4 linked regions of the Anolis sagrei genome follow. The protein of the gene in region 3 interacts with the protein of the main gene of each other region in a biochemical or structural test. Links are inferred from orthologs where the notes say so. Each region holds a gene or a part of one and is shown on either strand. Other genes may lie near its edges. The genes, in order: DNM1, SYNJ1, SH3GL2 and DNM2.

Region 1 (7,703 bases), on a different chromosome or scaffold from region 3:
GAACATTGCATCATTGCAAGAAGAGCAACGTTGCATTGACGTTGCATCCTCCTGGAAGGAATTGCAATGGCCCAATCGAAAATGATGAAGATTTGCTTCTGCCTGCATTGCCCCCCTTTTACCCTTCTGATATTTCTCTCCTCTCTTGAGATTACGTAACGATGGGGGTTGAGGACTGGGCTTTGCTTGCAGACGGAGCTGTTTCCTTCACATCCTCTCTTCCTAGCCAACAAGGTTAACTTCCCAAGGCCAGGAGCAACAGAAGGAAGGGGAAGAGGAAGCAATGGGAGGGGAATGTTGCCCAGACTCAGCTCAGCAATCCCAGGATGATTTGGGATTAACACCATTCGATCTCTCCTTGCCTTGAGGATGGGGAGGCAGAGCACAACACAACACAACCACCGCCCCGTCCTTCCATCTCCAACCCCAAAAGATATATGTGTGTGTGTGTGTATGTATACATATATGAACAGAATTTGGATCAGCTTCTGGATTATGATGCCAGGTCTACGTACGATGCTTCCAAGTCTATGCATTGTATTGACATGCCATTGTTTTGATGGCCATTGTATTTATGATTTTGTATTTGTATTTTTAATATTTAATGCAGCATTGAATGATTGCCAATTTGGAAGCTCCTCCAAGGTTGAGATAGAGCAGGGTAAAGAAAAGGCAGTTAATAAATAAATAATGTGTGTGTGTGTGTATATATATATATACACACACACACACACACATATACATACATATATATATATATATATATATATTATTTATTTATTTATTAACATATATATATATAATTTATTTATTAAATTTTAAATAATTTACATACTTTTGTGCATTCTTGTCATTGAGGTTTTTATGGTCTTCGTGTATCTGTTTAGATCATTATGTTTATCCAATTATTAATTATATATATTTTTGGCTGAGCACTTATTAATTTTTAATTATTATTTTTTTACTGCTTGATTTTTGTGGATCTTTTCTACCAAGGTATTGAATGTTTTCGTTTCTTTCTTTCTTTTGTCTGGAAGCTGCCCTGAGTTCCCTTGGAGAGATAGGGAGGTCTATTAATAAATTATTATTATTATTATTAATTTTTTATGTGTGTGTGTATTTCTTCTCCTCCACCCTCCCTCCAGAAGGAAAAACAGGCATGCTTCTCCCCAAACCTAGAATGGCTGCTGCTTATTTTTACTATTATTACCATTTTAATTTCTGAATTCAAATCCAAATAGAATTATTATTATTATTATTCCCAATGTAATTTCTGAATTCAAATCCAAATTATTATTATTATTATTTCCAATTTAATTTCAGAATTAAAATCCAATTATTATTATTTTATATATTATTATTCCCAATTTAATTTCTGAATTAAAATCCTATTATTATTATTTTATTTATTATTATTCCCAATTTAATTTCTGAATTAAAATCCTATTATTATTATTTTATTTATTATTATTCCCAATTTAATTTCTGAATTAAAATCCTATTATTATTATTTTATTTATTATTATTCCCAATTTAATTTCTGAATTAAAATCCTGATGATGATGATGAATTTCTGAAGTAAAATCCAAATAATGATGATTATTCCCAATTTAATTTCTAAATTAAAATCCAAATGATGATTATTATTTATTCCCAAATTAATTTCTGAATTAAAATCCTGATGATGATGATGAATATCTGAATTAAAATCCAAATGATGATGATGATTATTATTCCTAATTTAATTTCTGAATTAAACTCCAAATGATTATGATGATTATTATTTTTCCCAATTTAATTTCTGACTTAAAATCCTGATGATGATGAATTTCAGAACTAAAATCCAAGTAATGATGATGATTATTATTCCCAATTTAATTTCTGAATTATAATCCTATTATTATTTATTCCCAATTTAATTTCTGAATTTAAATCCAATTATCGTCATTATTATCTATTCCCAATTTAATTTCTGAATTAAAATCCAATTATCATCATCATCATTATTTATTCCCAATTTAATTTCTGAATTACAATCCTATTATTATTATTATTATTATTATTATTATTATCTATTCCCAATTTAATTTCTGAATTAAAATCCAATTATTATCATTATTTATTCAGAACTTAATTTCTGAATTAAAATCCAATTATCATTATCATCATTATTTATTCCCAGTTTAATTTCTGAATTAAAATCCAACTATTATTATTATTATTTATTCCCAATTTAATTTCTGAATTATTATTTTTACTATTATTATTATTATTATTATTATTATTATTACCCTGGAGATTTGCAGAAAAGCAATGCCTCTGTTTGAGCCTGTGCTTGGGGAGGGAAGGCAGGAGGGAGAGGGTGGGGTGGGGTTGCTAGGCAACCCCGGCTGTCAATCACAGGCCTGCCTCCTAGGGTTGGTGCTGGCACCAGGGAGCATCTGCAATGGATGGATGGAGCCGGGATGGAAGCCTTGCATTCATCCTCTCCGCCATCCCTTGCACTGCCACTAGAGGGAGCCATTCTGCATGGAGAAAGCAGGCTCAGATAGAGATAGAGAGAGATTGCCATACACATAAATAGAGAGAGAGATGCATAGAGAGACTGACCTGCCGACGAAATTCTCCAGGACGGAGCTCTTCCCGGCGCTCTGCCCGCCAACCACGGCAATCTGGGGCAGGTCCAGGTTGGCATTCTGCCCGATGGCGGAGAAGGCGTCCTGGAGCCGGTTGACCAAGGGAATGAGGTCCTCCATCCCCCGGTTGCCCATGGCTGCGCCCGCTTAGCAGCCCCGCCAGGGAGCTGGCCAAATACTGGTCCCAATACAAGAGAGTCTGCTGGGGAGGCTCAAGCCCGGGCCGGCTCCCCCAGGCCTGCAACAAGGGCTCCCTTCCCCGTCTCTCTCTCTCCCTCTCTCTCCTCCCGCTTAATCCATAGGCTTGCCTCCTCCTCCTCCTCCTCCCGCTGCAGCACTGACTGCTTTGACTGGCTCCCAACGCAAAGACAGCGCGCTGTCCCGCCTCCCGCCGCCAGAGGGCGCCCTCCGCAGCGCCTCCAAGCGCTTCCTGGGAAATGTAGTTCAATAGGCAGAGGGGGATGCAGCCCAAGGTTAGCATCCTCCCATCCTAGGCCATGTTTGGAAGACCCAGTTCAAAGCAGATACATGTGGGATTTTTCTGCCTTGGATATGCTGGGTTATATAGGACTGTGTGGAAGGGCCTTGGGTTAGAATAATAATCATAATAATCATAATAATCTATATAAATAAAAATATAATGCTTATTTGTGGGATTAAGAGAACTCAAAAACCACTGGGGGAATGTCACCAGATTTGGACACAAGACACCTCTCAGGCCAATGAGTGACCATCACTCATAAAAACACTGAAAAACACAGAGGTAGGGACTTAAAAAGCCAAAAAACCAAAAGAAAACATTACAACTCATGTGCAAAACCACATATATATATACAAACACACACATATACACACATGTGCATACACACACACAAAACATACACAGAAAGAAAGAAGGAAGGAAGGAAAGAAGGAGGGAAGGAAGGAAAGAAAGAAGGTGAGAGAAGGAGGGAGAGAAGAAGGGAAAGAAGGAGGAGGGAAGGAGAGAAAGAAGGAAAGAAAGAAGGGTAGAGAAGGAGGGAAGGGGAGAAGAAGGGAGAGAAGGGAAAGAAGGAAGGAAGGAGAGAAAGGTAGAGAAGGAAGGAAGGAGAGGAGGGAAAGAAGGAGGGAAGGAGAGAAAGAAGGAAAGAAAGAAGGGTAGAGAAGGAAGGAAGGAGAGAAAGGGGGAGAAAGAGGGAAGGAGAGAAGGAAAGAAAGAGGGAGGGAGAGAAAGAGGGAAAGGCAGAGGGAAGGAGATAAAGAAGGAAAGAAAGAAGGGAAGGAAGGGTGGAGAGAAGGAGGGCAAAAATGAAATAAGTGAAAGAGGGAATGAAGGAGAGAAGGAACAAAAGAGAGAAAAGGGGAGGGAGGGAAGGAAGGAAGGAAGGAAAGAGACAAGTAGGGATAGAACCAAAGAGCAAAGGAAGCAAGAAAAGAAATAGGTAGAGAAGGAAGAAAGAAGAAGGGAAAGAAAAAGAGGGAAGGAAGGAAAGAGGGAGAGAAGAAATGAAGGAGAGAAAGAGGGAGGGAAGGTTGGCCACAGCAACGCGTGGCGTGTACAGTTAGTAATCTATATAAATAAAAATGTAATGTTTGTTTGTGATATTAACAGAACTCAAAAAGCAGTGGGCCAATTGACACCAAATTTGGACAGCACACACCTAACAACCTAATGTATGTCCTTCACTCAAAAGTTTTTGATTTTGTCATTTGCGAGTTGTAGTTGCTGAGATTTATAGTTCACCTACAATCAAAGAGCATTCTAAACCACATAAATGATGGAATTGAACCAAACGTAGCACACAGGACTCCCATGACCAACAGAAAACACCTCATTGGGTTGCTCTAAGTTTTTTGGGCTGCATGGCTCTGTTCCAGTAGCATTCTCTCCTGATGTTTTGCACCCTCATAGGTTTATTGGCAGTGAGGCAAGTATATATAAGTATGTTTGCATGTGAAATAATGCCTGGTCTCTCCATTCATCTTGTTGGGTTGCTGCAAGTCTTTTGGGCTGCATGGCCCTGTTCCAGCAGTATTCCGAAAGGCTCAGATGTGCCTTTCAGCTCTCCTTCAGGATCCCATTTGCACCAAAATGCAGCAGCCACAGCTTTGTCTTGTTTTGCAACGGCTTTTCAGAAGAGAGAGACGCAAATGTATGTTGACATAGCAACCACGGGGATGGGGCTCTGTGTTGCCACAAGGAAATGTGTGCAACCTGGCTGTTGTTGTTTGGTTCGTGCATCATCTCACGGCAGGAGGGAAGCATCTCAGATCAGGAGTCAACCTGAGCACTTTTGCAGGGATGCCGACAACAGGAAGAAGTGCTCTTTTTCCTTTTGTTTTTAAATAACCCCCCACCCGTGAACCACCACCAATGACCTCCACCAGGTGTGAAACTAATATCTGGTGCCAGAGAGCAGTCTGTTCAGCACTTTTCAGGTCGCCCCGTCCTCCATGTACCCAGGAAGGAGCCTCTCATCCTCACAACCTCTGAGGATGCTTGCCACAGATGCAGGCAAAACGTCAGGAGAGAATGCTTCTAGAACATGGCCATACAGCCTGAAAAACCTACAACAACCCAGCCTCTCATCCACTATCAGCCATGGATTGAGGTTTCGGGTTTTAGCCTGCCACTTTTGGACTCTTGCTTGCTGAGGTGTTTCTGCGAGTATCTCTCTTGATCTCAGGAAGTTGATTTAAGGCATTGGGATGCTGACTGATATCTGAACAGAGGATGGGCCAGAGATGACAATGCCTTGGTCATTTCATTGCTGGCTGCTACTTCCCGACAGATGTCAGGTGGTGCAATATTGGCTAAACAGTATATTTTCTCCAGTGGTGTTGGGCGTCCACATCCACTTTGTGGGGAGATGTGTTCCACACTGGGCATGACTACTCAGCAGCAGAGTAGCAAAGCTCAAGGGCAGGTGTCTTAACTGTGTCTGGTTGTGATCCCAAGGTTGTGCCAGCTTTCATACAATATTATTTCTAGCACCCACTTTTTGCTTGATAGGCAAGCAGTGCTTCTTGTAGGTCAAAGCATGGTCCAGAGTGACTCCCAGATCACTCTGGGAGTGCTTCCGTGCAATTCCTTCCTAGCTCATCCTTAGACCTCAAGATCCTTGTCTGTCCTTAAGGTGAAAAGCACATGTCTGCATTTTAGATGGATTAAGAATTAGCTAGTTTTCCCTGAAATAGGCAGTCAACGCATCTAAAGCTTCAGAGAGCTTTTGTTCAACAATTTCAAAGCACTGCTTGGGCGGTGATGGCACGATCATCAGCATAGATTACACTCTCTGACCCTTCTGGCAAGTGGCTGGTCATTTGTGTATATGTTGAACATGGATGGAGCCATGGATTGAGGCTCCCCTGAGCCAGGCTGTTCTTCTGCTTCTTTGGCCCTGGAACTCAACAAAAAAGCTCCTGTTTTGTAGCAGATTTCCTATGAAGCGGGTGAGGTGGTCATCCCTTGTGATATTATATGTTTTTTCTCAGGAAAAGGCCATGATTTACAGTGCCTTAGGCTACTGACAGGTCTATGAAGACAGGTTCTGTAATCTGATGCCTTTCAAAACCATCTTCTATGTGTTGAGTCAGGTTCAGCACTTGTGATGTGCAGTTTTTGCCTTTCCTAAAATAGCTTGATGTGAGATCATAAATGGGTCTATTTTTTCCATAATTCTATGCAAAATAAGCCTCTCCTGAACTGAAGGTGAAAAGCACATATCTGCATTTTAGATGTAATTGGCAATAGGAGCACTCCAAGCTTTGGGGAGCTTCTCTTCAACCATTTCAAAGCTCCCTCCGTGAGTGGTGATGGCACGATCGTCAGCATAGATGAAACTCTCTGTCCCTTCTGGAAGTGTCTGGTCATTTGTTTAAATGTAAGAGCACCTAAAGCTTCAGAGAGCTTCTGTTTAGTCATTTCAAAGCTCCCTGCTTGAGAGGTGATGGCACGATCGTCAGCATAGATGAAATTTTCTCTCCCTTCTGGCAAGTGGCTGGTCATTTGTGTAAATGCTGAACATGGATGAAGCAAGCACACTTGCCATCTTCTTCTCTGGCCCTGGAACTCAACATAAAAGCTCTTGTTTTGTAGTAGATTTCCTATGAAGCGAGTGAGGTGGCCATCCTTTGTGATAGGAGAAGGCTATGATTTACAGTATCATAGGCTACTGACAGGTATATGGAGACAGGTTCTGTAATCTGCTGCCTTTCAAAAACCATCTTCTATGTGCTGAGTCAGGTTCAGCACTTGTGATGTGCATTTTTTCCCTTTCCTGTTCAACCATTTCAAAGCTCCCTGTTTGAGCGGTGATGGCGCGATCATCAGCATAGAGGAAACTCTCTGTCCCTTCTGGCAAATGGCTGGCCATTTGTGTATATGTTGAACATGGATGAAGCAAGCGCCTGAGAACTGGGAAGCCCTGGTCCTAGAACAAGCCCTATGAGGAGCGGCTTAGGGAACTGGGCATGTTTAGCCTGAAGAAGAGGAGGCTGAGAGGAGATATGATAGCCATGTATAAATATGTGAGAGGAAGCCACAGGGAGGAGGAGGGAGCAAGCTTGTTTTCTGCTTCCTTGGAGACTAGGACGCGGAGCAATGGCTTCAACTAAAAGAGAGGAGATTCCATCTGAACATTAGGAAAAACTTCCTGACTGTGAGAGCCGTTCAGCAGTGGAACTCTCTGCCCCGGAGTGTGGTGGAGGCTCCTTCTATGGAAGCTTTTAAGCAGAGGCTGGATGGCCATTTGTCAGGGGTGATTTGAATGCAATATTCCTGCTTCTTGGCAGGGGGTTGGACTGGATGGCCCATGAGGTCTCTTCCAACTCTTTGATTCTATGATTCTATGAGTGCTCCAGCTGGAGGTCAGCTGTGACCAGCAGTGCTGCATAATTTGAAGAGGCACGAATAGAGGGCGAAAGAGAGAAATGTGCTAAGAGGAAGGCGCATCAGGCCAACCCCGACCGAGACCACTTTCCACCTGAAAAACCAATGCCCTCACTGTGAGAGAAGATGCAGATCAAGAACAGGGCTCCACAGTCACCTACGGACTCACCAGAACACTGATCCTGGAAGACTATCCT
Region 2 (7,528 bases), on a different chromosome or scaffold from region 3:
AAGTATTCGGGCACTGGACCATGCTGTGACCGTGGCTAATGATCATAATGTGAAAGAGTTAAAAAGTGAGGGGAAATAAAGTTTTGCCATGTAATTCTGGGATATAAAAATCATTCCTGAAGTGTAATTTTGTACATATGTAAAGTTTTATTAAACTGTAAACTATGGATTGTTTTTAATACAAAATGCATTCTTATATACAGCATCTATACTAGCATTGATGTCTCTGAGAAAATGAAAAGGAAGCCAGGAAAATTTTCACCTCCATCTTGTTTACAAAGACTTTTATACTCCATTGTCGCCATCTATTCAGTTGAATGACCTTCCATTAACAGGAAATTCCTTAGTATAAAGCTCATTAACAGATCATCTGCAAATAGTATAGCCCTCAAATTTGTGTTTCAGATAATGGAAGATTTCAAAGTAAGATTTCAGTTGGTGGAATTTGGTCCAAAATATATGTATATGGTGTGACCCTGCTCAGAGTAAAGAAATTTCCAAAACAATATCCTTGGTCTCTGTTTGTGTATTGATGATAATAACTAAAAATTAACAATTGCAATTACATAACAGTCCTTGGGGGTTCACAGTAAAATGCATTTCCTTGTAGTGAAAGTACTGTATATTCCGGGGTACTAGACGACTTTTTAGGCATGTAAAACCTTATAAAATTTGCGGAGTCTACTACGCCGGGTATAAAATTAATAATAAAATTACCGGTAGAGCCTCTTGGTGTGGAGGGCCTTGGCCACGGGCTCCCCTCCGCCTCCGCCTCCTCCTCCTCCTCCACTGCCTTGGCTCATGGCAGGCTCCCCGTCCTTCCTCTCTTCCTGGCTGCCGCGCTGGTCAGGCCGCACTCCTTCTTTCTGGTCAGGCCTCGCGAGAAGCGTCTCTTCTCCTGTGAGACATCTCGCTGGAGAAGAGGTGCTTCTTGCGAGGCCTGGCCAGGAAGGAGAGCGGCCTGAGCAGAAGGGCCTCCCGCGCTGCTCAGGCCGCTCTCCTTCCTGGCCAGGTCTCGCAAGAAGCACCTCTTCACCCGCGAGACAACTTTGTCTCGCAGGAGAAGAGGCGCTTCTCGCAAGGCTTGACGGGGCTGGGAGGCAGAGATGCCATGGCGGCAGGAAGAAGGAGAGCGGTCTGAGCAGCGCGGGAGGCCCTTCTGGAGGTGGCGCAGGAAGCAGCCCAGGGGCAACCACACACCAGGCGTAGAGGACAGAAACCACCTGGCGTAGAGGACAGAAAATGCGGAGTCGTCTTAAACGGTGAGCATATCCCCAACTCTCTATTTTGTGTGCTAAAGTTGGGGTGTCGTCTTATAGCCCCAGTTGTGTAAAACCCCAGAATATACAGTATTTCACTATGTAAACAGAATTTTTATTCTGAAAAGAACATTGCTAAATTAATGTATGTTTGATAATCACTAACTTCCATTGGAAATATTTTCTCATGTTACCTTGATTTAGCAGATTTCTATCCTAACTATTCATATACTTGATGTCAGCCCTTCCTGATTCATTCTTGCCGAAGCATTTACTTTCTATTTAGGCTGCCATGTGATTTTTAAAAAGCCGTTCTCAAGCACAATGAGGTGGTAAATAAGGTCCATGCCATACAAGGTAAAGCTGAGTGACAGTGCTGCACTCTTGTGTTAGCACTTTGGCCTATGTCCTAAACTAGTATAAAGATCGGCTCACTGTTGTTCAAAGCTGACGAAGCAATTTAAAATCAAGCACTGCTTATTTTCAAACTTAATTCCATAGGTTTTGATTTTAAGACGAGTGGTGCTTAAATTTATGTCAAGTCTCCCAGACAGTCTTTTTTAAAAACTGCTCATTTTAAAGCTGGTAATCTTGAGTGAAAACCTATTATAGTCCTCTACAGATTTGCTTGGCGATCAGTCTTACATATTTAATTAGCAGCCCCAGGCAACCAACATCAATTAAATTCTTTATTATAGGACAGGCACCAGCTGTTGGGAATTGTGGGAGCTGAAGTTCAAAACACCTGGAGGCCCAAAGATTGCCCATTCCTGTTAAAGGAACAAGGGTTCTCATACAGATTAGGAGCTCTATTCTAATAATATATAGAGCTCCACTTATTTGCACATCTGTTTTAAGAATATACTGTCTATATAAAACATTTATGCTATACAGAAAAAAAAGTTACAACTTCTTTTATATTCTCTTAAAACAAATTCTGGGTACAAAAGTCAGGGAAGAGATTCTTAATTGAAAACATCCTAGTGTTTTATGTTAAGAGAATGAAATAGTACTGATTTATGAAAGCATTTACATTATTTATGAAATTATTCTACTGTTTGGATATAAGTGAGAAAGTGACAAGTAGCTGTACCCGGTCTACTTTTGGTTTGCATACTTTTGCTATTTCAATTTCTAAAAAGGTACAGGTACAAAAGTCCTGTACTTTGGGTTTCTAAAACCTAATGAGTCATTACTCTAAACTTGATATCTGTCTGCATGCAGACAACTGGTTAGATCTAATTTTGGCATAACCTTTCCACGTTAAGTAACTTGTGTCACCCAAAAATAGAACAAGACAGTGGCGGTAGTCCTAAAGCTCTTAGAAAGAATAGGCCAGAAAGCAGTGCTGGCAGAAATTAAATATCGGAGTACAATGACTGATGTAGAGAGGTGTCATAGAGTTAGTATGTGAAGCCTTCCTACTCTGACCTTCAGTTTGTGCACAATGTTAAAAGCATTAAGTCAAACCATTAAAAAAGAAACATCACAGGATTATGTAGTGTGACAGATCTGTCACAAGTAATTATCCAGCAGCAATAAAACATTTTGTTAATATACAGGCAATAGACTTTTTTTCTTCATGCCTGTAATCACTACCTACTTCCAGTGGTCCTGGGGGCCACATACTCCTCCCAAGACCTTGAATGGCAATCCATGCTAAAATGTGGGGTTTTCCGATTCAAGCCACATAGAGTGGGGCTTTGGTATCTGTTCAGTTTGATTCCAGGACCTGTGTTATGAATTCATCAATGGTCAAGTCATATTATTTACAATGGCATAATAAAATGATGTCCCTTAAATAGAATAACAAAATCAAGGCCTGCCTTTTGAAAACATAAGAAATAATGTAAATGCTATGGAATGATGGATTAAATCCTAGTAAAGGTAAAGGTTTCCCCTTGACATTAAGTCTAGTCGGGGGTGGTGCTCATCTCCATTATTAAGCCAAAGAGCTGGTGTTGTCTGTAGACACCTCCAAGGTCATGTGGCTGGTATGACTGCATGGAGCACCATTACCTTCCCGCAGAAGCTGTACCTATTGATTTACTCACATTTGCATGTTTTTGAACTGCTGGGTTGGCAGAAGCTGGAGCTAACAACAGGAGCTCACCCCATCTGTGAGTTTGAACCACTGACTTTCTGATCAGCAAGTTCAGCAGTTTAACTCGCTGTGAAACCACATAAGAAATATACATGATTAAATCCATTGATACAGAGGGCCTACTTTACCCTCCCACTTTTTTTTCCGAAGTAGGCTGAAAATCACTGTTTTAAAGCACTTTTAAAAGCCCCAAACAGTCCAGTAACTTCTGGAATAGGGTGCATTTATTTCTGGATGTAGGTGAACTACAGCTCCAAAACTCAAGGTCAATGCCCACCAAACCCTTCCAGTATTTTCTGTTGGTCATGGGTGTCTGGTGCCAAGTTTGGTTCAATTCCATTATTGATGGAGTTCAGAATGTTCTTTGATTGTAAGTTAACTATAAATCCCAGCAACTGCAACTCTGAAATGACAAAGTATTCATATTTGGGCGTATCAGATATTTGTACCAAATTTGGTCCCAGTTATTGAAAATACATACTGCATATCAGATATTTATATTACGATTCATAAGAGTAGCAAAATTACAGCTATGAAATTGCAACGAAAATATTTTGATGGTTGGGGGTCACTACAATATGAGGAACTGTATTAAGGGGTCGCTGCATTAGGAAGGTTGAGAATCACTGGCTTAGAGGAAGGCGAAATGTGGACAAAAAAATGATGCTGCGTTTAAAAAAAAACAGCCAATTTGCTGAGTCAGCAGGTCTTCTGAAAGGAAACGGATGCGCCTCCGGAGGGTAGTGTTTTCCAGTTAGTCATGTTCCAAAACAATCCATCTTGCCTCCTGACAGCAAGAAGGGATTTCAGGCCAAACCACAAGCACACACACCAAGGTCAAGCACGGTCTGTTTTTGCTGCCTGAGCCTCTTGAGAAAGCCACAACTAGATTGACTATAAGGCAGGCATGGGCCAACTTGGGCCTTCCCTCCAGGTGTTTGGACTTCAACTCCCACCATTCCTCACAGCCTCAGGCCTTTTCCTTTTCCCCCTCAGCCGCTTAAGCTGTGAGGAATGGTGGGAGTTGAAGTCCAAACACCTGGAGGGAAGGCCCAAGTTGGCCCACACCTGCTCTAAAGTAGACGGTGAAGGAAGACTCTCCTTCCCTGGAGACAGGGCGCCCCTCCCTCCCTGTCCTCGCGCACCTCCCACAACTTCCGGTCTGGAGGGGAGGGGGCGGGGCAGTGCGGAAGCGGCGGCCCCGCCGGAGAGGAAGTGAGGCCAGCGCCTCAGGCAGCGGCTGCACGAAGAGGCTCCCTGAGGTGGCCGGTAAGGGGAGGACTCCGCATCTCTTCCGAGGCGCCCGTTCTGCTTCAGTTCTTATTTGGGAGGAACTCGGGCCCCTTCCTGGGCCGGGGGAGCCGTTAGAGAGGGAATCCCAAGATGGAGGAGTCGTGAGCGCCGGCCTGTCACGGCAAGGAGGGATGGGGAGAGGGAAGGAGGGAGGCCTTCGGTATATGGGATTATCAGCGTCGCCTTGGCAAAAGCTTATCGCCTGCGTGGAAAGCCGGGCGTCCACCGCTGGCTATGCTCTCTGAGGAAACGGGGAGATGGGGAGCCTTGGGGGACGGTCTTGGGGAAAGGGAAGGGAAGGGTCCCCATCTCCAGAAAGACCCCGCAGGCCAGGCCTCGCTTCGGGAACCCAGGAAGGCCCCCTTTTCCCCCAATGGGGGGAGAAGCCTGCCAGTTTGGTGTTTCTGTGTATGGCTCCCAAGATGCTGTTTTCCTTGCTCTCAAATTCTGAGGCAGTTCCCAGCTGGGCTTCCATTACTGCTGTCATTAGTAATCATGTTTTCTTTGGCCTGCGGTTCATTAAGAAATCGATTTCCGTCTCAACACCGAGGCGAGGCGGCGTCTCTGACATGGAATTGCGACGGCTCTTCAAAACACGTCTTTTAAAATCTCGCTGGATTTTAAAAGAATCAGATGTTTATATCCAGATGTTAATATCTAGTTATTGTGCAATGTATAAACACACATTGTTGGAGGGGGTTGAAATTGCTACTTAGCCCTGGCTCTGCCTTTAGGCAAAGTGAGGCACAGGAGATTCTTAGGACCCTTCCACACAGCCATATAACCCAGAATATCAAAGCAGAAAATCCCACATTATCTGAGTGTGGACTCGGGGCCCTTCCACACAGCCCTAGATCCCAGACTATCAAGGCAGAAAATCCCACATTTTCTGAGTGTGGATTCAGGGCCCTTCCACACAGCCCTATATCCCAAAATATCAAGGGAGAAAATCCCACAATATCTCCTTTGAACTAAGGGCCATTCCACACAGCCCCATGTCCCAGAATATCAAGGCAGAAAATTCCACATTATCTGAGAGTGGACTCGGGACCCTTCCACACCCCTAGATCCCAGAATATCAAGGCAGAAAATCCCATATTATCTGAGTGTGGATTCAGGGCCCCTCCACACAGCCCTAGATCCCAAAATATCAAGGGAGAAAATCCCACAATATCTGCTTTGAACTAAGGGCCATTCCACACAGCCCTATATCCCAGAATATCTAGACAGAAAATCCCACATTGTCTAAGTGTGGACTCAGATAACCTAGTCCACACTCAAATAATGTGGGATTTTCTGCCTTGATATTCTGGGATCTAGGGCTGCGTGGAAGGGCCCGCAGATAACCCAGGGCCCTTCCACAAAGCCCTATATCCCAGAATATCAAGGCAGAAAATCCCACATTATCTGAGTGTGGACACAGATAACCCAGTTCAAAGCAGATACTGTGGGATTTTCTGCATTGATATTCTGTGAAATAGGGCTGTGTGGAAAGTCCCCGAGTGCCCTTCCAGACAGGCCCTTTATCCCAGGATCTGATCCCAGGTTTTCTGTTTTTCTCAGATTACCTGGCAGTGCGGACACATATAATCCAGTTTAAAGCAGTAAACCAATAACCGGATCTTGGGATAAAGGGCCTGGCTTGAAGGGGCCTGCATTATCTGAGGGCCCTTCCACACAGCCCTATATCCCAGAATATCAAGGCAGAAAATTTCACAATATCTGCTTTTATCTGGGTTATCTGAATCCACACTTAGATAATGTGGGATTTTCTGCCTTAATATTCTGGGATACAGGGTTGTGTGAAAGGCCCTGAGTCCACCCTGCCATTTATTCCATTCAAAGCAGATAGTGTGGGATTTTATTCAGCTTGTGTGGAAGGGGCCATTGTTATCTGGGACTCTCAAGCAACCAGCAAAACACTGAGGAAAATAATACTGCATCCACAAGGCTGTTTTTATAATACAGGCAGTCTCCAAGTTATGGACATGACTGGGTTCTGTAGGTTTGCTCTTAAGTTGAATTTGTAAGTAAGTTAGAACATTTTCAGTGTAACTCCAGCCAAATATATAGCTTTAAATAGCATAGAGAATGGTTAACACCCCTGTGGTGTTTGTTTTGCTGTGTGTTCCACTGTTCAGAACATTTCATCTCACTTTCTGTCCCTGTGGGATTTGGATTTTGAAAAAAATTGGCTTGTTGTGGAAACAAGGATTGGTGAAGAAGTTTCAGTGGAGACTCCTTTTCCCTATGATAAATAATAATAATAGCAATATACTTTATTTATCTTCTGCTCTATCTCCCCGAGGAGATTCAGAATAGATTATGACATACACAGATAGACACCTCCTGGTTGTGTTGCCGGTATGACTGCATGGCCGCCTTTTATTACCTTCCCGCCAAAGTGTTACCTATTGATCTACTCACATTTGCATGTTTTCGAACTGCTAGGTTGGAAGGAGCTAGGGCTAACAGCGGGAGCTCACCCAAACCTACAGCTTCAAACTGCTAACCTTTGGGTCAGCAGATTCAGCAGTTCAATGGTTTAACCCGTTGCGCCATCAGGACCCTTACATCAACTCTCCCATGAGTGAATTTCCCTTCCTAGGGGTAGATTTCTCTCCCTTCCTGTTCTCTCAGCCTCATTCTTAACTAGGAGTCATTTGTAAGTCAGATGTTTGAAACTTGGAATCTTGACTGTACAGTAAAACTATGTTACATTAAGTTTGTCTTTATTTGTCTTTATTTATTTTTAATTACCGTGTTTCAATATAGATATCAAGTTAACACAGAGTTTATGTTATATTATGGGGTATAGATTAGTTACGCCTATGTTTAATAGTAACTGTCAACCAACCAGAAACTACATTTA
Region 3 (7,215 bases):
CAAGAGCCAGAAGGAATGGACTATTTAGGAGAGGAAAGCCCAGCTCCCGAGTATCTCTATCTATATCTATGTAGGTATCACTAGAAGGAAGGTCATTGGAGGAGGACTTTTACATAATCATCCAGGACAATTGGGAAGGGGGGAGGGAGAGAGTTGGCGGAGGTCTGGAAATATTTCCATCTGATTTGGGAGAGGAGGAAGCCCTCCCCCCAATCTCCCCGTAAAGAGCCGCAATGGCGAGGGAGCTCCAATGCAAGGAAAGATCAGCAGGAGAGAGGGAGAAAGGGAGTCCCAGGCTGAACCAAGCCACAAGGAAGGGTAGAGACATGCTGAAAAGGGGAGTAACCAGGTCGGGCTCCTTGCTGTGTGTGGAAGGGGTGGCAATGCGGTGCCCCCTCCCTGGGTTTCTGCGGCAAAAGTCTCCGACCCGGGACGCGGTCCAGATCCTGCGGAAGGCAGCCTGGCGCAGGAAAGGAGAGGCCTCCCTCCCTGCCAAAGGGATGCCAGCCTTGCCCTGACACAGTGCCTTCCCTGCTTCAGCTCTGCCTGCTCGGATCTGAGACCGACTCCAGAGCAAGGCAAGGGCAAGAGGCACCTCTCGAGTCTCCCTGGCCGAAGACAACCCCTCCAAGAAACCCCTTATGCTCTAGAACCCATGCAGTCGGGCACCAAACTACAATTATGGCGATTTGAGGAGGCAGAAGCCCTTCTTTGGTAAAGGAGGCTAAAATAAAGAGCCTGTACAACTCCCAGGCTTCTATAGCATTGAGCCATTGGGATCACACTGCATTCATTCTACCAGGCAAGATGCACCCTTCTTCAATGTGTTGTCAAGGGCTTGCATGGCCGGAATCACTGGGTTGCTGTAAGCTTTTCGGGCTCTATGGCTATGTTCTAGAAGCATTCTCTCCTGACGTTTCGCCTGCATCTATGGCAGGCATCCTCAGAGGTTGTGAGGTCCCCTCTGAGGCTGCCTGCCATAGATGCAGGTGAAATGTCAGGAGAGAATGCTTCTGGAACATGGCCATACAGCTCGAAAAACTTACAGCAACCCACTCTTGGTCTCTTTGCCCCAGATGTTGCAATCTGGAGCTTCCCAATACTGCTTTTGGGACTGTCAATCTATCCAGCTATAATAGAGAAAAGGGACTGAGTGTAAATCTCTGTATCGCCCCTCCAGATATGCTAAGGAAAGCTGTCTTTAGGGACTGTCAATCACAGAATCCCCCCCCCCCCAAAGCCGGCTCTGCTAAGCAAAGGTGCCTTTCTGGGGACTGTCACTCCCAAAATCCCCCATCCAGCATTTCCAAAAGACCCTTCCCCAAGCCCAGAAGTGCTGTCAACTGGAGACCAGAAGGAGATGCCAAAACAACCTCCCAAGACACCTTGCCTAATTAGATGCACCCTTGATCTCTTTGCTCCAGACGCTGCAATCTGCAGATCCCTCCAAAATGCTTTTTGGGACTGTCAATCTACTATCAAGTTCAAATGGGGGGAAAGGGATTGTCAATCCCTCAATCTCTTAAAATCATGACAGTAAATAAAGAACACTCTGAAGACAGCTAACACCTCCGAACAAAGGGTTCCCCCAGGCAGGAAGCAGTCAGGCTTTGAAGCTGCAAGGCTATTCAATGCTAATTAGGGTGATCAACTGCAACATTCACACTTGCCTCCAGCAGGTAAGAGTTCTTTTTCCCACCTTGGACATTATTCCACAGATGAATCAACCTCCCAAGCTTTGAAGCTGCAAGGCTATTCAATGCTAATCCAGATGCTCAATTGTAACAGGCAACAGTTCTTTCTCCCACCCTGGAATTTCCACATATATATCAACCTCCCAAGCTTTGAAGCTGCAAGGCTATTCAATGCTAATCTAAGGTGTCCAATTGCAAAATTCACCTTGGCCTCCAACAGACAAGAGTCCTTTCTCTCACCTGGGACATTATTCCACAGATATGTCAACCTCCCTTGCCTTGTTTCCAACAGACCTCACAACCTCAGAGGATGCCTGCCATAGATGTGGGCGAAACATCAGGAAAGAATGCTTCTGGGACATAGCCATGCAGCTTGGAAAACTCACAGCAACCCAATCCCTGAATCGTCCATCCCGCTATGTGAAGGAAAGCTGTCTTTAGGGACTGTCAATCACACAATTCTCCCCTAGCCAGCTTTGCTAAGCAAAGGTGCCTTTTGGGGGACTGTCGCTCCCAGAATGCCCCATCCAGTACTTCCAAAAGATCCTTCCCCAAGCCCAGAAGCGCTGTGAATTGGAGCCCAGAAGAAGGAGATGCCAAAACCACCTCGAATCGTCCCTCCAGCTATGCTAAAGAAAGCTGTCTTGAACGCCTGTCAATCACAGAATCCCCACCCCCACCCCCCAAGCCGGCTCTGCTGAGCAAAGGTGCCTTCTGGGGGGACTGTCACTCCCAGAATCCCCCATCCAGGCCCTTCCCCAAGCCCAGAAGCGCTGCCAATGGGAGCCCAGAAGAAGGAGATGCCCAAACCACCTCCGAAGACGCCTTGAAACGCCATGCAATCCATGAATCTATGGCTAATGCCAAGGCACGCACTCCCAACCTAGCAACACACACGCGCACACCAGCTCGGGCTCTCTTCCCCGGCTACGAAGGAGAGCGCCCCCTCCTGGCCCCTCGGAGCCTAGAGTGCGTGTGTTGAGAGGAGGAGGAGGAGGAGGAGGAGATTGTCCAGACCAGAGGGAGGAAGGCGCTTCGCCCTCCTTTGACCCGAGGAGGATGCCCCCAAGGCTGCTTCTCCTCCCTCCCTCCCGCTCTCCCTCCCGCTTCCCTTCCTCCTTGGCTTCCTTACCTGAGTGGCTTTGTGGAACTGCTTCTTGAGCCCCGCCACAGACATCTCTGCTGTAGGTGGAAGGAGAGCGAGAGAGAGAGAGAGAGAGATGGAGGGATGCCGGAGGAGCGGGAAAGGTCCCTTCTGGTGCCAGCCTCCCTCTTGCCCTCCTCCTGCTTGAGCGGGGATGCTCTGATGCAGAGAGAGAGCGCGCGCCTGACGTCAGAGACAGGCAGCCCTGCCTCTTAAAGGGACAGCCACCCCCCTCTCTCTTTTGGGTCAAGCAAAGAGCTTCAAAGCAGCCTCTCTGGCAATGAGAGGACATGGTAAGCAGCTTTATTGACTGTGGAAGAATGGAAAGAGTTATACTCCCTCCTGTTCCTTTTCCCAGTATCTTCCACCGGAGTGACCAGGACTGCTCTGGTCCTAAAACTTGGTAGGAATGTTTGGAAATAAATCCATATTGTCCAGATATACCTGATGTAAGGTAAAGCTAAAGAGAAAGGTTTTCTCCTGACATTAAATCCAGTCACATCCGACTCTGGGGGTTGGTGCTCATCTCCATTAAGCCCAAGAGCCGGTGTTGTCCGTAGACACCTCCAAGGTCATGTGGCCAGCATGACTGCATGGAGTGCTGTTATCTTCCCGCCAGAGCAGTACCTATTGATCTACTCAAATTTACATGTTTTGAACTGCTAAGTTGGCAGAAGCTGGGGCTAACAATGGGAGCTCACGCTGCTCCCCAAATCTGAACCTGTGACCTTTCCGTCAGCAAGTTCAGCAGCTCAGCACTTTAATCCACTGCATCACTGGGGGTCATAATAATAATAATAATAATCCAGACTGACAAAGTTTTGGAACACAATACACCAGACATCACGATTATGGAAAGGAAAAATGTTTGGATTTTCAATGTTGCTATACCAGGTGACAGTTGCATGGAGGAAAAACAACAGGACCTCAAAATCAAACTGAAATGGCTCTGGCATAGACCAGTACAGGTGGTCCCAGTGGTCATCGGCACACTGGGTGCCGTGCCAAAAGATCTCGGCCAGCATTTGGAAACAATAAACATTGACAAAATCACAATCTGTCAACTGCAAAAGGCCACCTTACTTGGATCTGCACGCATCATTCAAAAATACATCACACAGTCCTAGACGCTTGGGAAGTGTTCAACTTGTGATTTTGTGATACGAAATCCAGCACAGAGATCTCATTTGCTGTGACATACTGTGTTTTTGTGTCAGTATAATAATAACTTTATTTTTGTATCCCGCCTCCATCTCTCCGAAGGGACTCAGGGCGGCTTACATGGGGACAAACCCGATCAACATAGTTAAAATATAGCACAATAAAATGCATAAAACAAAGTCATAAAGCAATATAAAACAAACAACAACTCAACACAATATAAAACAACCATCAAGCAAAAAAAAACCAGTGGTTTGAGTAATAAACACTTCTGTTCTCGGGTGGGCAGACAGGTGCAAATAAGTTGTGAGGACAGAGTTGATGGATAAAGTACAAAGCCATATGACAAAGTTAGGGATGGAGAGCAATATGAAATAGAGCACTATTTCATATTCAACATCTTTATCAATGACTTGGATGATGGAGTAGAAGTCATCCTTAGCAAATTTGCAGATAATGCCAAATTAGGAAGGGGTGGCTAATACCCCAGAGGACAAGAATCCAAAATGTCCTTTACACTGAATGACCTGCTAGAGATGAATTATGTGGCTTGATTAGGGAAAATCATTAGGGTGATTTGCAAATGATTGGAAGCCCTTGACACACTTTTTGTGGAAAGACAAAAATGATTTGATAACTATTTTGAAAATTGATATTATTTGGTTATCAGAAGTGTACAATGTCATTAGAAGAGAGGAGGGAAGGGTTATATATATGTATGGCCTCTCAAAATAAAGTTCTTTATATGTTATCTTTTTCTGTCTTTGTCATTTCTTAAGTGTAGCTCTTCCATGTTTTTTTCCTTGCAGGATGTTTCCTTGCATGAAGAAATAATAATAATAATAATAATAATAATAATAATAATAATAATAATAACATATTCAACAAAATGTCATTGGCTGATTAGAAAGCTGAGTCAAAACTAACAAAATGAATTTCAACATGGAGTAATTTAAGGGATTACATGTAGGCAGGAAAAATGAAGTGCCCATATATTGTATGGGTGATACCTGGCTTGATAACAGTACAAGCAAAAAGGATCTAAGGGTCTAAACATGAGTCAACTGTATGATGTGGCAGCCAAAAACGGGCAATGCTATCTCAAACAACAGCATAGCATTCAGATCAAGGGAAGTTGTAGTACCATTCTGTTCTGCTTTGGTCCAAATTCACCTGTGTTCAGTTCTGGGCACCGCAATTCGAAAAGGATATTGACAAGTTGGAAGATGCCCAAATAAAAATGACCAAGACGATTAAAAGTCAGGAAAAAAAGCCTTATGAGAAATGACTTGGGGAGCAGAGTATATTTCGCTTGGAGAAGAGAAGACAGCACTCTTTCCAAAGCAAGGAGGCAAGTTCTCTGTTTCTTACTCTAGAGGAGAGGCGCTTGGCTGCTTTTGGTGGAAATATTACATTAGTTTTGTTTTTATTTGTCTAAGGGCCCTTTTACACAGCCCTATATCCCAGGCCGGATCCAGTCAGGCCTTTATCCCAAACATGGATGTTTCTGGGGGCCTGTCCACACCCACCCCAGAAAGCCATTACAAGCCTCGCCATGCCAGGAGAAATAATGCACCGGGGGGGGGGGGGGGGATAGCTCTCCCACACACAAACACACACACTCTCCTGGCATGTCATTGTATGCACCGGGAGAGCTGGCTGACTCTTGTAATGGAGGGCACAAAAGTTTTTATTTCTTTTCTAAGGGGTCTGGGGATTTGGGGGGAGGAGAGGAGGGCGCCCAAGGGAACATCTGGACAACCACACCAGAAAGCGCATGGGGGGGGGGGTATTCCCACAGTTTACTGGGCTTATATAGCCCAGTAAACTGTGGGAATACTGTCTGGACTGCAGTATTTTGCAGTCCAGACCTGGAAATAATGGATTTATCCCACGCCTTCCAAGAAAGCGTGGAATAAATCCACTACTAAATTAATTTGTTACAAAACAAGGTTTTCCTGGTTTGTAGGGAATTAATTTGGGACTGTCCAGACATTGTCTGGACAGCCCCTCCTTTATTCCAGTAGATACCGCAATAAAGGTGCTGTATGGAAGGCCCCCCAGAATATCAAGACAGAAAATCCCACAATATCTGCTTTGAACTGGGTTATCTGAGTCCATACTCAGATATTGTAGGATTTTCTGCCTTGATATTCTGGGATCTAGGGTGTGTGGAAGGGCCCTTAATTGAGGTTTAATTACTGCTTTTCAATAATAATAATAGACAATACAGAATTTATGCAATGGTATAGTATGGGGTATAGTAAGAGGCCGATTTTTCATTAAACCCTCAAGCAACCAGAAACTGCGTTATTCTGGTATCTAACAATCCCCATGGGTTTAAGCAACTGAGGGCCCTTCCACACAGTCCTCTATTCCAGAATATCAAGGTATAAAATCCCACATTATCTGCTTTGAACTGTTATCTGACTCCACACTTAGATAATGTGGGATTTTCTGCCTTGATATTCTGGGATAGAGGACTGTGTGGAAGGTCCCTCAGAGACTACTTATTTGTTTTTATCCTGTCTTCTTCCCAGAACTAGGACTCAAGGTGGCTTATAGTTTAAAAGAGCATTGTAGTTGAAAACATACCAAAAGTAACCATGAAAACAGAATTAAAGTAGTCATAATATTAAAATTTTTCAAATTTCTAGATAAACGAATAAAAGGCAATTGAAAATATTAAAAAGCTATTAAAATAGTACATTTAAAATGACACCACACCACTTGGTCCAGTCTTTAAAAGCCTGCTGTTTTAATAGCCTGTGGGAATAAAGACAGTTTAGCCTTTCAACTACATGGCAATGGGGAGTCCCAGAATTGAGAGGCAGCCATCAAGAGGACTAGGGTTGTGTCAATAAAGATACCATTTATTATTTTTGATCAAACACAAAGTGTTTTATCCAGCTGAAATGCAATAAATCATTGCTTCTTGTTATTTTTGTTAATATTCTGTCCACCTCCCCCCAAATATTGCTATCCAGGACGATTTCATTTCAGGGTAGCTTCATTTCAAAAAGTAGTTTGCTTTTGTGAGGGTCTTTGGAGTTACTTCATTGAATGCAATAAAGAGAAGCAAACTTTAAGGATGACATTTCACATACGCATGTACTGTACATGCACACTGCAAATAATGTTGTCGAGAGCGAAAACACAGAATTCTGGAGGGAAAATCCATTTATATCTTGTTTCAGTGAAGCCTCTAAAGGTTAA
Region 4 (7,471 bases), about 43 Mb from region 3:
AACTAAATGCAAAGATACAAAATGGGGGACGCCTGGCTCAAGAGCAGTATGTGTGAAAAAGATCTTGGAGTCCTCGTGGACAACAAGTTAAACATGAGCCAACAATGTGATGTGGCGGCAAAAAAAGCCAATGGGATTTTGGCCTGCATCAATAGGAGCATAGTGTCTAGATCCAGGGAAGTCATGCTACCCCTCTATTCTGCTTTGGTTAGACCACACCTGGAATATTGTGTCCAATTCTGGGCACCACAATTGAAGAGAGATATTGACAAGCTGGAATGTGTCCAGAGGAGAGCGACTAAAATGATCAAGGGTCTGGAGAACAAACCCTATGAGGAGCGGCTTAAGGAGCTGGGCATGTTTAGCCTGAAGAAGAGAAGGCTGAGAGGAGATATGATAGCCATGTATAAATATGTGAGGGGAAGCCACAGGGAGGAGGGAGCAAGCTTGTTTTCTGCTTCCTTGGAGACTAGAACAATGGCTTTCAACTACAAGAAAGGAGATTCCATCTGAATACGAGGAAGAACTTCCTGACTGTGAGAGCCATTCAGCAGTGGAACTCTCTGCCCCGGAGTGTGGTGGAGGCTCCTTCTTAGGAAGCTTTTAAACAGAGGCTGGATGGCCATCTGTCAGGGGTGCTTTGAATGCAATATTCCTGCTTCTTGGCAGGGGGTTGGACTGGATGGCCCATGAGGTCTCTTCCAACTCTTTGATTCTATGATTCTATTGTTTAAATTAATGTTCTATTTATTGTTTTAAATGTGGTTATATTGCTTTGTTATATTTAATAATATAACGTACCTTGGGAAGGCTGACTTGGCCACGGTAGTACACACTTTGGTTACATCCCGCTTAGATTACTGCAACGCTCTCTACGTGGGGTTGCCTCTGAAGACTGCCCGGAAGCTGCAGCAAGTACAACGCACGGCAGCCAGATTACTAACGGGTGCTGGGTACAGGGAGCACACCACTCCACTGTTACACCAGCTCCACTGGCTGCCGATTAGCTTCCGAGCACAATTCAAAGTGCTGGTGTTAACCTATAAAGCCCTAAACAACTCCGGCCCTGTTTACCTCTCCGAACGTATTCTCCCCTACGAACCATCAAGACCACTAAGATCGTCTGGAGGGGCCCTGCTCTCGGTCCCACTGCCTGCACAAGCACGGCTGGTGGGGACGAGGAACAGGGTCTTCTCGATGGTGGCCCCTCGACTTTGGAACTCCCTGCCATTAGAGATCAGAACTGCCCCCTCCCTCATGACGTTCAGGAAACTAACAAAGATCTGGTTATGGAACGCGGCATTTGACAACTGATTTAATTCTTTGCTCACATGAAAGGAGGATGATGAATGGTATTGTGATGGTGTCGGACGATTTGGCTCTTTTAACTGTGATGATAATGTTTTAATCGGTGATCTCAAGACTGGACTACTGTAACGCCCTCTACATTGGCCTCCCTCTGTCGGTGATTCGGAAGCTCAAGTTGGTACAAAATGCAGCTGCTCGGCTTCTTGCGGGAATTCCGATGAGATGCCACATAACACCAATCTTACTACAGCTGCATTGGTTACCAATTGAGCACCGGATCACTTTCAAAGTGATGGTACTCACCTTTAAGGCCTTGCATGGTCTGGGGCCAATGTATCTGAGGGATCGTCTCACCCCCTACCAACCCCAGAGATCCCTCCGTTCTGAGGACCAAGATCTATTGGAAGTCCCCAGTGTCAAGACCTTGCGTCTAACAGCAACCAGACGCAGAGCCTTTACAGCAGTGGCACCATCACTCTGGAATACTCTGCCACCTGAAGCCCGTGCCTTGCGGGACTTATCAGCTTTCCGCAGGGCATGTAAGACATACCTGTTCCGACAGGCTTTTAATGTTTGATACTGTTGTTTTTAAATTGTTTTAAATTGGTTTTAAACTTTGTTAGATTTTAGCTATTCTTGTAAGCTGCTCCGAGCCCCAGGGGAGTGGCGGCATATAAGTTTAAATAATAAATAAATAAATAAATAATGTGTATGGTGCTGATATTTTAATCGTGTTATGAAGTGCCATTGTGTTGTTATTGTATATTCTTTGTATGTTAACACATGTTGTGAACCGGTCCAAATCCCTCTTTGAAGGTGAAAGGGTCGGTATATAAAACCTCGAAATAAAAAAAATAAAATAAATAATGACATCAAATTGTGCCAAATGTAAGCCGTCCCGAGTCCCCCTTCGGGGGTTGAGAAAGACAGCGTAGAAATGCTGGAAATAAAATAAATAAACAAAATAACCTCAGAAACAGGCCTAAAAGCAAGATATCAAGAAAAGAATGTTGTTGTTGTGCTGTGAATATGCAATGACAAGTGTCATTATTGTGTGTGGGGGAGTTTAAGCAGAGTGGCGTCGAATGAGGAGGAGGCCCAAACTGCACCTGCTGCTGAGGGAGGCACAAAGGTTGCTGTAATCCTCGCCCGCCCATTCCACACACTCACAGACCCACAGGGCGCGAGGACGAGCCAGAGGCCGGGAGAGCATCCCCACAAAGCTTGCTTCTCCCGCGCGCGCCCCTCCCTGCCCGCCTGCCTCGCGCGCCCCTTACGCAGCTGACGCAACTGGCGCACTGAGACGCCCTCACTACGGCGGAGGGGGCTATTCACAGACGGTGCGTGTGCCCAGCTCCGCAGCAGGCGCGCGTGCGCGGCATTCTCGGCAGGCATTTCCGTAAACTGCGCCGCATTCTGCTCAGAGCCCTTTCCCACTCACCGGCCTACGAAGTTCTCCAGGACGGAGCTCTTGCCCGCGCTCTGTCCGCCGACGACGGCGATCTGCGGCAGGTCGAGGTGGCAGCTCTGCCCGATGGAGCTGAAGGCATCCTGCAGCTTGTTAACAAGCGGGATCAGCTCCTCCATCCCTCGGTTGCCCATGGCGACGGCCTAAAAGAAAGCGGGGAGGGCGCTCCTCCGCTTCCTCGCTCAGCCCCCGGCAACAAGCACCAAACTTCCCCCTCGGAGTCTCCTCATCCGGCCTCAGCGACGCCCCGCTCGCGCCTCCTACCGCCCCGACTCCCTTCCCATTGGTCAGCGCAGCCATCACTCCGTAGCGGTAACCAATAGGGAACGAGGATCTGGCGGACTCCCGCGCTGATACGGCGCTGTTGCATCGGCCCGCCTCATTTCCGGTTGGCGTTCTAATTGGACGAACTCGCCTGTCATTCGGCGCTCCCTCTGCGGCTCACCCAGCCAATAGCCGCCTCCGGAAAGTGGTCAAACTGCATTAAACCCCGCCCCTTTCTCTCGGGCGCTGCTCCCCATTCGTAACCCTTGCTCTCCTCTTCAAACAACGAGTTATCTATCAAAGCGGCGAGCCCCGCCCGCTGCGCCTTTTTCGCTTTCTATTGGCCAATGTTTCTGTCACTCAGAGCGAGCAGCCAATCGCTTCAGTAAAGTTAACTTTTTGGAAAGGCGAATGTAATGCTGAACTCAAAAACCACTGGACGAAAGACACCAAATTTGGACACAATACACCTAACAGTCCAATGTATGTTCTTCACTCAAAAAATGATGTTGTCATTTAGGAGTTGTAGTTGCTGGGATTTATAGTTCACCTACAATCAAAGAGCATTCTGTACCGCGCCAACGATGGAACTGAACCAAACTTGGCACACAGTTCTCCCACGACAAACAGAAAATACTGGAAGGGTTTGGTGGGCAGTGTCCTTTGGTTTTGGAGTTGTAGTTCACCTACATCCAGAGATCACTGTGGACTCAAACAATGATGGATCTGGACCAAACTCTACACGAGTACTCAATATGCCCAAATGTGAACACTGGTGGAGTTTGGGGAAAATAGAATCTTGACATTGTAGTTCCTGGGATTTGTAGTTCACTTACAATCAAAGAGCATTCTGAACCCCGCCAACGATGGAACTGAACCAAACTTGGCACACAGTTCTCCCACGACAAACAGAAAATACTGGAAGGGTTTGGTGGGCAGTGTCCTTTGGTTTTGGAGTTGTGGTTCATCTACATCCAGAGATCACTGTGGACTCAAACAATGATGGATCTGGACCAAACTGGGCACGAAAACTCAATATGCCCAAATGTGAACACTGGTGGAGTTTGGGGAAAATAGAATCTTGACATTTGGGAGATGTAGTTCCTGGGATTTGTAGTTCACATACAATCGCAGAGCATTCTGAACCCCACCAATGATAGAATTGGGCCAAAACTCCCACACAGAACAGCCATGTGGGCCACAGCAACGCGTGGCAAGGGGCGGCTAGTATATTATAAATATTATATGTATATACAATATATTATATTATGTTATTAGCTTAGCACAGGAGACAGGAGAAGAGAGAACTTGTAATTCAAACAGGATATATCATATTTACTCAAATCTAATGCTCACCTTTTTGGGCTATATTACCTTCCCAAAATTAAGGTGCACATTAGCTTTGTGTTATACAGTAATTTTAGTGCTGAGCCAAAGCAAAATGGGAAGCTACTTCCGAAGCACCTGGAACTCCTATTTGAGGGACATGATCTCTAATTTAATTGCCTGAGTTAAATGCTATGCAATGCTGGGATTTGTAGTTGGTGAGTCACCAGCATCTTTTGGCAGAGAAGGCTCAAGACTTTGTAAAACTGTGCTGTTCCAGCAGACACCAGCCAACCCCTCTCCAAAGCCAGTGATACAGCTTAATGGTGTAACATTCGAAAATGTTGATCATTTCCGCTACCTTGGCAGCCACCTCTCCACCAAAGCCAACATCGACACCGAAATACAACACCACCTGAGCTCTGCGAGCGCAGCATTTTCCCCAATGAAGCAGAGAGTGTTTGAAGACCGGGACATCTGTCTACAGATGTCACATGCAACTCCTGGAACGATTCCATCAGTGCTGCCTCCGGAAAATCCTGCAAATGTATTTATTTATTTATTTACGGCTTTTATATGCCGCCCTTCTCACCCTGAAGGGGACTCAGAGTGGCTTACAATATATATTTTCATACAATATATTATATTATTAGCATAGTACAATATCAGTATATATTACTATATTGCACTATACCATTATATTGTAATATTATTAGTAATATTACATGTAATGTAAATATATAATTATAATTATAATATTGAATTATTATTACTAGTATTATATTGTATTACATTATAATATTATAAATATTATATGTATATACAATATACTATTATTATATTATTAGTAAAGACAAGATGGAAGTGTCTTCTGCTCCCTTCTGTCTTCGCTGTGGCCAGAGCAGCCGTTGGGAAGACAGGCGGACAAACGTCAGCGTGCTGGAAGAAGCAAAGACCACCAGCATTGAAGCGATGGTCCTCCGCCACCAACTCTGCTGGACCGGCCACATTGTCCGGATGCCCGACCACCATCTCCCAAAGCAGTTGCTCTACTCCGAATTCAAGAATGGAAAACGGAATGTTGGTGGGCAGGAAAAGAGATTTAAATATGGGCTAAAAGCCAACCTTAAAAACTCCGGCGTAAACACTGAGAACTGGGAAGCCCTGGCCCTTGACCGCTCCAGCTGGAGGTCAGCTGTGACCAGCAGTGCTGCAGAATTTGAAGAGGCATGAATGGAGGGCGAAAGGGAAAAGCGTGCCAAGAGGAAGGAGCATCAAGCCAACCCTGACCGAGACCGCCTTCCACCTGGAAACCAGTGCCCTCACTGCGGGAGAAGATGCAGAACAAGAATAGGGCTCTACAGCCACATACGGACCCACAAGAATATTGGAAGACAATCCTCCTCAGGAAACGAGGGATCGCCTAAGTAAGTAAGTACAGCCCCCATGACTCCAAAACATTGAACCAAGGATTCATTCTACAGCACAGATGCACCCCAAGGTTTTCTTTTCCATTGCTGAAAGCTTTGGTGTCTTAACACTTTTGTTCTTAAAGGAGGAATTCAAAGCAGGCAGCCACTATTTTTTTGACCAAATTACAAAGAGTGCACCTTTTGTTACTGGATATTACAGACACCAGCAAATACTTTTTTTAGTTTTAAGGTTTTGAACATTGAGGTGCAGGTAAAATTCGATGGCACATTAGACTCGAGTAAATACGTGTAACCACAGTGACATGATCAGTCATTTTCAGGAGCAGGCACAGCAGGTGCACTAGTTTTATTATACAAATGTACTCCAGATCACCTTTGAAACCTATATATCCAGGCTCAAGGTTGGGTTCAGGAGTACGGGCGAGCTGCAAACACAAGTTTCCAGGGAGAGTGTAACCACACCCAGAATAAGTTGAATATTTATTCTCTGGTGTGCTTTTGTCATGTCTGCATTTCAGCATGAATATATTGACCCTTTTCGGTCCACTGCATACACCACTGGTTTAGCACCAAAGCTGCTTTCCTTCAGTGAAATACTGATAGCTCTGGAGAGGTCATGCTAAACCAACATATCTCTTTGTGTTTCCTTCCAGCTGTTTATTTATTTACTCAATTTCCATCTCACCTTTCAAACCAGAAGATTACATTTTTAAAACCAAGAAAATATAATCTGCCACTATGAAAACAGAACTCCTAGCTGCCCAAGCACAGAAGTGGGGGGAGCCTCATGAAATAGCTGGGCTTCACATATGTGTTTGAGCAGTGGCAGTTAATGCACCTGTATGTCTACTTTCATCAGCTGAACCTCTAAACGTCATGGTGGTATTGCATATTCATTTCATATTCAGGAGGCTAAGATTGAGGTCAAACTCCCTGCCTTCAAGCTGATCTGACCTGCAGCAGGGAGTTCCTCAGTTCTCCATTGCCCCGCTTGGGCCAACCTGCATGAACATGGCCACAGCAGCAGCTGCAATTCAGAAACCTTCTTGTTAGTTTCGCTTTCTTCCCCTTCCTAACATTGTAACTAATCCCCCCAATAAAAAGTATCAATTAATTGTACAGTATATTCTGGCGTATAAGACTACTTTTTAACCCAAGAAAATCTTCTCAAAAGTCAGGGGTCGTCTTATACGTGGGTGTAGTCTTATGCATGGCAGTCGTCTTAACTCTACATTTTAACTGGAAAAGTTGGAGGTCGTCTTATACGCCGAGTCGTCTTATATGCCGGAATATACGGTAACTTTGAGAGCTGGACCTTAGGGAAGGCTGAGCGAAGGAAGATAGATGCTTTTGAGCTGTGGTGTTGGAGGAAAGTGCTGAGAGTGCCTTGGACTGCAAGAAGATCCAACCAGTCCATCCTCCAGGAAATAAAGCCCGACTGCTCATTGGAGGGAAGGATACTAGAGACAAAGTTGAAGTACTTTGGCCACATCATGAGGAGACAGCAAAGCCTGGAGAAGACAATTATGCTGGGGAAAGTGGAAGGTAAAAGGAAGACGGGCCGACCAAGGGCAAGATGGATGGATGGCATCCTTGAAGTGACTGGACTGACCTTGAAGGAGCTGGGGGTGGTGACGGCCGACAGGGAGCTCTGGCGTGGGCTGGTCCATGA

Evidence for each region.
Region 1: the proteins of SH3GL2 (region 3) and DNM1 form a complex in vitro, tested with the Homo sapiens proteins (2 studies listed by BioGRID and IntAct, with this or other methods). The link is inferred for Anolis sagrei from reciprocal best matches to the Homo sapiens genes SH3GL2 and DNM1.
Region 2: the proteins of SH3GL2 (region 3) and SYNJ1 form a complex in vitro, tested with the Homo sapiens proteins (2 studies listed by BioGRID and IntAct, with this or other methods). The link is inferred for Anolis sagrei from reciprocal best matches to the Homo sapiens genes SH3GL2 and SYNJ1.
Region 4: the proteins of SH3GL2 (region 3) and DNM2 interact in a biophysical measurement, tested with the Homo sapiens proteins (2 studies listed by BioGRID and IntAct, with this or other methods). The link is inferred for Anolis sagrei from reciprocal best matches to the Homo sapiens genes SH3GL2 and DNM2.

What each region holds. Positions count from the first base shown.
Region 1 is NC_090031.1:16,582,818-16,590,520, reverse strand, and holds the start of DNM1 (dynamin-1), read right to left. Parts: upstream 3,012-7,703; 5' UTR 2,772-3,011; coding exon 2,611-2,771; intron 1-2,610. UniProt on the Homo sapiens protein: Catalyzes the hydrolysis of GTP and utilizes this energy to mediate vesicle scission and participates in many forms of endocytosis, such as clathrin-mediated endocytosis or synaptic vesicle endocytosis as well as rapid endocytosis (RE).
Region 2 is NC_090023.1:69,429,322-69,436,849, reverse strand, and holds the start of SYNJ1 (synaptojanin-1), read left to right. Parts: upstream 1-4,528; 5' UTR 4,529-4,632; intron 4,633-4,649; exon of another isoform or gene 4,650-4,777; intron 4,778-7,528. Other genes in the region: PAXBP1 (PAX3- and PAX7-binding protein 1), read left to right, coding at 1-79. UniProt on the Homo sapiens protein: Phosphatase that acts on various phosphoinositides, including phosphatidylinositol 4-phosphate, phosphatidylinositol (4,5)-bisphosphate and phosphatidylinositol (3,4,5)-trisphosphate. Has a role in clathrin-mediated endocytosis.
Region 3 is NC_090022.1:212,488,904-212,496,118, forward strand, and holds the start of SH3GL2 (endophilin-A1), read right to left. Parts: upstream 3,022-7,215; 5' UTR 2,872-3,021; coding exon 2,827-2,871; intron 1-2,826. UniProt on the Homo sapiens protein: Implicated in synaptic vesicle endocytosis. May recruit other proteins to membranes with high curvature. Required for BDNF-dependent dendrite outgrowth.
Region 4 is NC_090022.1:169,260,438-169,267,908, forward strand, and holds the start of DNM2 (dynamin-2), read right to left. Parts: upstream 3,029-7,471; 5' UTR 2,911-3,028; coding exon 2,750-2,910; intron 1-2,749. UniProt on the Homo sapiens protein: Catalyzes the hydrolysis of GTP and utilizes this energy to mediate vesicle scission at plasma membrane during endocytosis and filament remodeling at many actin structures during organization of the actin cytoskeleton.